Ovis aries: one gene and its partner. The protein of the gene in region 1 purifies or fractionates together with the protein of each later gene. This does not show direct contact. Links are inferred from orthologs where the notes say so. Each region holds a gene or a part of one and is shown on either strand. Other genes may lie near its edges.

What was found.
Region 2: the proteins of PITPNM3 (region 1) and VAPA purify together in Homo sapiens (co-immunoprecipitation; 3 studies listed by BioGRID and IntAct, with this or other methods). This does not show direct contact. The link is inferred for Ovis aries from reciprocal best matches to the Homo sapiens genes PITPNM3 and VAPA.

Annotation. Positions count from the first base shown.
Region 1 is NC_056064.1:25,206,150-25,210,488, reverse strand, and holds the start of PITPNM3 (membrane-associated phosphatidylinositol transfer protein 3), read right to left. Parts: upstream 2,997-4,339; 5' UTR 2,901-2,996; coding exon 2,879-2,900; intron 1-2,878. UniProt on the Homo sapiens protein: Catalyzes the transfer of phosphatidylinositol and phosphatidylcholine between membranes (in vitro). Binds calcium ions.
Region 2 is NC_056076.1:42,442,335-42,445,188, forward strand, and holds the end of VAPA (vesicle-associated membrane protein-associated protein A), read left to right. Parts: intron 1-1,385; coding exon 1,386-1,544; 3' UTR 1,545-2,165; downstream 2,166-2,854. UniProt on the Homo sapiens protein: Endoplasmic reticulum (ER)-anchored protein that mediates the formation of contact sites between the ER and endosomes via interaction with FFAT motif-containing proteins such as STARD3 or WDR44.

The DNA of each region.
Region 1 (4,339 bases):
GACCCTCCCCACTATCCCCCTCTCCTCCCTCCTACAGACTTTCATCCCATAGGTAGTATCTCTCCTCCTTTGTCCAGTAGATCGAGCGCTCTCTCAGGCCAAGACCAAGGGCTCTCCTTGCCTAGCCTTTTCTGTCAAGACTGGACACAGGGCACCATAACCATCCTGGTCTGTGTGACTGAAACCTTCCCATTTGGGATCCACCCCCTGCCATTTATCCAATCCTTTCTAAGACTTGATTACATTTTCTCTTGTACCTGGGTTCTCCTGGCAACATGGAAGCTCCTTTCACTGCCTCCCTTCAGCTCCTGTGTGACTCTGTTGACACAGCCATGGCTGGTTGCTTAGGGTGTGCACTGCACAAGTCTGGGCTGCTCTCACAGGACTACAATGCAATGACCTTGGAGTCAGGCACTAGGGCGGCTCTGAGACCCAAACCTCTATCTCTAGTCAATGGTCCCCTTGGCCAGATTTAGACAGAACACCTCATAGGCCACAGAGCAGACTCTTTCATTCACAGGCCAGATTCTCACAGCCTTCACCCTTCCCCAGTTCTAATGTCACCCCCAGGGTGAAGGCCTGATCATTTCTGTCAGTCTGTCCATCCACAGTAGATGGTCCTGAATAGCCACCCCTGTCTGTGTCACATCCCATCCTTGGGTCTCAGTTTCTCTAGCTGTAAAGAGAAGGACCTGAGCCCCTGTCGCCAAGGACTCCCTCTGTTGTAAAGCTCCCCAGTCCATCCTCACAGACTTCGATCTCCATGCACACATTACTGCCTGCTGTCTTCAAGTCAACAAGCTTAGAAGGCTTAGGAAGAGAAGGGACTTTTACAAAATGCAAAGGAGCCTGGAAGAACTCAGAAGAGGAGGAGTAATCCGATCTTGCTAGGGTCGATCCCAAAGGCTCCTTGGGGTGGCAGCTGAGCGTGGGAGGGAGAAGCTTGGGCTGTTGGACCCATGGAGGAGAAAGGCGGGGAGGGGGGGTCCATGCTGCCCTGAGGGAAAGGGCCAAGCATGAAATTGCAGCAGGAAAGACAAGATGTTAGAATAGCACGAGGCACCGATGCTCAGGGCAGAGCAGTTCTTCACCTGTCACAGGAACAAATTCCCACGGACTCTTGGTCTAGAGACCAAATGACACACGGACCAAGGTGGAAGGGCTGGAACCTCTGAGGGTAACATTGGAGAAAATCCATCGTTAGAAGTCCTTACAGTCTGGCCCGACATCCAGGCTCTGCCCAGACCCTCTGGGCCACCTGGATGGAGGTATTTCTTTGAGTTTCGGTTTGCAGATGTTTTCAGAAGGGAAGAGTAACACTTCCTGCCTCCCGGGATGGTGGTGCACATTGCCTGGTGCCTAGTAAAAGCAGCGATTGTTAACTGCTGTTGTGTTGACGGTGTTCGGGTAGGTGAAGTGTGCAAGGGGCGTGCATGAACTTGCACATGCATGCACACAAGGCGCGAGGACAGTGTGGGGGACACACACCTGCCATGTGCTCTTGTGTGAGTAATTGGGGTGGGCAAGGACCCAAGGAGACCGCCTTTTCCAGCCCCATGGGTGTCATCTCCTGGTGCCTCCCTTTGGAGAGGAAAAGGGAGGGAAGTGAGAAAGGGAGTGTTTAGATGTGTTCCTCACTGGCTGTGTCGCACACAACCAGCCCCACCCAGACAGGACTCCAGGGGACAGAACAGGAGTATATTCTCAGGCACCCAAAGCACACACCCAGCATATGTATAGGAGCATCGGGACCTGGTCCAGGATCAGGGCAGCATCCAAGGGGTGGCAGTGGCTTTACACACACACAGCCCAGCAGAATCCACTCCAAGTGTGTGCAGAAGTGAACTCACACTCATTCCATCTCTGCCACCACTGACGGAGAGAGGGTGGGGTTCGTGCCAAACCATTGCTGAGTCCGAGGGGGTGCCATGGCACCTGCCAACGTCACAGGCTGGGTGTGAGTGCATAGGAGATTTACACATGCCAGCCTCGAAAGCCGGCCCTGCTGCGACCAGGCTTGCTGCCACCCTCGTTGCAGCGCCCTCTCAAGTCACCCTCGGGCCCAGAGAGTGCGAACAGGGGCAGCGTCTGGTCCACCTCCTCATCCCAGTGCCCAGCTCTGGGCCTGGCACAAAGCAGATGTTGGTGAATGAACGTCTGGCCGAATGAATGAAGAAATGACTAACGCCCACTCCCTCACACCCCGGACCACACGGCCTGGGTCTGGGGGAGGGCAGAGCCCTGGGGACCGCAGAAGAGCACCCCCCACCCTTCAGACTTCGGGCCCCGAGGCTCTGCTTCCCAGGGTCCGGGAGGGGGAGGGGGCGGGACGGCTCACAAGCCGGTGTGGAGCGGAGCACCCCTCCTTCCCCAGAAGAAATCTGGGTCTCCTGCCTGAGCTGGGGGCGGGGAGGCGGGGGGTAGTTGGTTGTCGCGCCCTGGATAGCGAGAGCGGCAGGACAAGGGGGCGCGTCCTGGTTGGCGCTGGGGTTGGGGCGGGGGGCGTGGGATAGAGCGGCAGCCGCGGGACCTCGCCTTCGTTCCCCGCGCCCGGGTCTGCCCAGGGTCTCGGGAGGGTGGCGATCGTTCCCCTCCGCCGGGCCGGGCAGGGGCGCCGCGGACCTAGCCCTTTCCAGAGGGGCGGTGGCGAGGGGACGCGGTGTCCCACGAGGTGACCGGGGGCGCAGGAAGGACGCGGGGCGCGCGGAGCCCCCTCTCCACGCTCCCAGGGGGCCGGCCGCGCCGCCGCCCGCTCGGCCCGCCCAGAACCTCCGCCCACCTGCGCCGGGGGCTCACCTGGACCGGCGGCCCCCCCACCTCGAGCCGCGCGAGTCCCTCCCCCCGCTGGCGGCCCGGCCCTCCCGGCGCCCGCCCTCACCTGCACGGCCCGCCTTGGCCATGGCCCGGGCGGCGGGCTCCGGCGGCGCTGCGCGCGCTCCTCGCGGCTCCCAGCCCAGTCCCGGCCGCCCAGCCGCCTCCGGCCGCGAGCGGACTCCGAGCGCCGCGCCCCGCGCCCCCGCCCCGCTCGCCGCGGCCGCCGCCACCGCAGCCGCCGCCGCCTCGCCGCTCCCTCCCGCTCCCTTAAAGGCGCCGAGCGGCGGCCGCGCCGGCCCCCCCGCGCTGCCGGGGAGGGCCTGACGGAGGAAGGCGCCCAACGCCGCCCCCGCGGGCCCGCACTCCCGCCCGGGGCCGCGGCCGCCGCTCCAACACGCTCCGCTCCGAGCCCCGGACGGGCGCGGAGACGCGGAGACACTGCGGTCCGGGCGGAGATGGGCACGCGGACCTGGAGTCGGGGGCGAGAGCCACGGACACTGGGCACTAGAGACACCTCTGGGGCCGAAACCCCGACGGGAGAGGGGGAGAGAAATTCGGAGCAGACTCGCTTCCCTGGCACCTGGAGAGTGACGGAGAGCAGAGAGGAGAGACAGGAAGAAGGACCTGGGGAGGGCTCCCGGGAAGCCAAGAGGGAGGTGGCTCCAGGGATCGGAGGCGAGATGGACCCTCCATCAGCCCCCAGTCCAAGGAATCGTTTTCTGGGATCCAGAACCTGGGTGTAAACTAGCCTCAGACGGGAAGGGATTTCTGTGCCCTTAGCTCTAAAAGAAGGTGTAAAAACACATGCAGAGCCCCCCTGGGATTCCAGGCTGGAGCAGTTTGGGGAGGCCAGGAGCCTAGCGGTGAGCAATAGCCCACTTTCGCTTCCCAAACCTAGGGGGCAGACATCCTGGTGAACAGGCCTAGCAGAGGCTAGGAAGGTTGGTGTTGTGGCTTCTGCCTGGTGGTGGCCAGGGATTCACGGTCCAGCCCCAAAAGGGGATGAGAGAAGGCCAGTTGTCTCACTGGCACTTGGGGGGGGGGGTAGCCAGATGGGAGGCTCAGGGGAGAGAGCAGTCTTATCCCTAGCCCAGGGCTGGGCCAGATCCATGGGCCCAACAGATGGCTGACCAGGCTCTGGCAGCTCCCAACACCCCCATAGCCGGCTGCCTGGCTGTCTGCTGCTGGAGAGGGCTAGGGGGTATCTGTTCTCAGGTGACTTTTCAACCTCCCCCAAGCTAAGCTCCCTTGGGAAGATACTCTCTGCTTCCTTCCGAGGAACTGGAAAGGGCTAAAACCCAGTTGCAACCTGTAGCCAAGCTCCCCACCCACCCTGTCGCACTCCGGCTGTTCAGGGAAAAGAATAATTCCATGCTCAGGCTAGCCACGGTCCCAGCTCCAGGGTCCCATTAACCCGTCTATAGAAACAGGGCACGCATGGGGCTAAACGGGTCCTCAGCGGGCATTTGGCCCAGCATTGACTCCCTCACTCTGGGACTTTGTCTCCATCCACAGGATCCCCCTC
Region 2 (2,854 bases), on another chromosome or scaffold:
ATGGTTTTTCTGGCTGTTTCTTCCTCTCCCAAGCCCCTCTCCAAGGCCCCTGCCCTGAACACCTACCTGGAGGGTGGAGAGATGCCCTCTGTTTCACAACCACACACAGCTCCATCCAGTTGTAAGGGGGCTGCTGTTTGCCCTTTTCCTTTACCTGCCATGACCTCAGTTCTGTGTTTGGTGGACGGTGTGCTCCCTGGCTGCTGAGCCCAGGTGTTCAGAGAGCTGAGGCCTGAATGCCAGGAACTGCCAGGCTGGGAGACAGGTGATGGAATTGACTGATGTTCTCTAGGAGATGCTGTTTGAAGAAGCATCCTACTTTTTAAAAGATGAAAGAACCCTGAAGACCGCTGGTGCACTGAGTTGACCTCTGGCCCTTTAACAGCTCACATCGAGGCTGGCGTTGCGGCAGCCTTCCTGGGCAGGATCTCCCCACTGCCCTTCACCTCCCCACCCCCGCTTCCTCATCCAGCCTGTTCATCGAGTGTGCTGTGAACTCTTACCCCATGTCCGGGCCACACTCCAGACCCAGGGAGGCAGAGTCATCTGGAGTGCCTTTTACAGTTCTCTCTGGGACCGAGAGTCATTGTGTCCACATAGGACTAACCAGAACAAGACCCAAACCCACAGCCCCTCCGAGCAGCCGGTCATGCAGGCAGACAGCGTGGCGCCCAGTGCATGTGGTGTTACTGGAGAACGCACCGGGGGTGCAGTGCGAGAAGTGAGACCGGCCTGTGCTGAGGAGGTGAAGTGGTGCCCCCGCTCTGGTCACGGTGGCAGGCCAGGTGGAGCCGGCTGCCTTGGCGCACAGGTCATTCTGAAGCTGGTGAAGTGTCGTAACAGCCTCCTGCTTTGAGTGACTGCTGTCATGTTACTGAGAACCTTGTCCCCTAAAGTCCCAGACTGACTGTCAGAAACTACTGTGTGAGACAGCATCAGTCAGGATGGAGCGGCCGCTCTGGTCTGGAAGTGGAGATCACCTTGCAGAAAAGCGGTCTCCAGTCCAGGCGCAGAGCCTTGGGGCGGGGTCCTGCGAGCAGCTCTCCCCCTCTGTTGGGTCCCGCCTTTCTCACAAAACAGGGTCCTGTGTCTCCTCCGTGGTCCAGGCCGGGTGCCAGCCCTTTACTCACACCCTCCCTCTCCCTCAGTCCCGCAGGGTCCCGGCTCTTCCTGTGTGGGGCTGGCTTGCCATGTGTCTGTAAGCTGGACTCTGACTAGCACTGACCTGTTTCTGGTCGTCTGTGGCTGAAGGGCCCGTTGTGAGGACACTGTGGGCCCCCCAGGTCACCTGCATATGGCTCTGTTGTCTGCCTGTGGGTTTGTAGCTTGTGGTCTGATGCACATTTGTCTTTGAAACCTCTTTTTGTGCCTGTGTTTTTTCCTAGGATGAAGGCTTACGGCTCAGGAAGGTAGCACATTCGGATAAACCTGGATCCACCTCAGCTGTGTCCTTCAGAGAGAACGTCACCAGTCCTCTTCCTTCACTCCTTGTTGTCATTGCAGCCATTTTCATTGGATTCTTTCTAGGGAAGTTCATCTTGTAGAGTGGAGCATGCAGAGTGCTATTTCTTTTTTTCCTCTTGACCAGAAAAGATTCGTTTACCTGCCATCTCACTGGTAGTGTGGCCCACGGTGACCATGTGGCCCACGGTGGCCATGCTTTGTGTGTACAGCGTCATGTAGGCCTCGCCCGTAACGGTCTCACGGTTAGAAAGAAACGCGTAAGAGCAGAGTGCTGGGCTCCGGACAGCGCCACCGCCATCAGACCGTCCCTAGCAGGCGTCATTGCACATTCAGTCCTTTATGAAATTCATAAATAAAGAATTGTTCTTTCTTTGTGGTTTTAATAAGAGTTCAAGAATTGTTCAGAGTCTTGTAAATGTTATTTTAATAATCCCTTTAAATTTTATCTGTTGCTGTTACCTCTTGAAATATGATTTATTTAGATTGCTAATCCCACTCATTCAGGAAATGCCAAGAGGTATTCTGTGGGGAAATGGTGCCTCGTACAGTGTAAATTTTCTCCTTCACCTTTGCTAATATCATGGCAGAATTTTTCTTATCCCTTGTGAGGCAGTTGTTGACTGAGTTTTTCATCCTTCCAATCCTGTCCAATGGTATTTAACACAAAAATAATAAAACTGTTAACAGATTCTTGCTCGATAGCTTGTTGTGTCTGTCGTGTCCTGAGGCGGGTGTCAGGGAGCACGCTGTGTGGCGATGTGGGTTATGAAATGCATGACTTACGGAAACCCCTGCAGGTGTCATGGTGTTTGTGGTTCAAAGGCCTCATTCCTTTAAGGAAAGGAATTGATAAGATTTCAGGACATTTTTGGTATTTTGGAAGGTCATAATCCGCTTGTCTTCAAGATAATACAAAATAAGCAAATACCATGAGAATTTTAAAAAAGTGCTGTAATGTCAGTTTACGTGTCTGCCCTGTGGCATGATTCTGTTTACTTTATCCTGTTCTTAGGTTCTTTGAGTATCTATCTTCTCAAGAAAGACTAATTTTCCTTGGTTCTAATCACTGCTTTTTGACCAGCCTAGTGATTTTGTAGCATCTCAGAATAATACTTAAACGTACCCCCGCAGCTCCCCCCAGCCCCGGTCCAATTTGACATGTGAGGTAACTTCCATTATGGAATTTTGGTATTACCGAGTAAGCCTGGGGAATTCCTTTGTGAAAAATGACCGTCTCTGCAGGTCTCTGTGTCAACCACGTGAAGTGGGTTTTTGGTGTAACTGCGTGGCAGGGTCTGGTGTACTTCCCTGCACTTAAGTCTCACTTAGTTACTTCTGTGTTGGCATAGAAAATTGTGAAACTAGAAAAAATAGATTCACTTTTTCTACT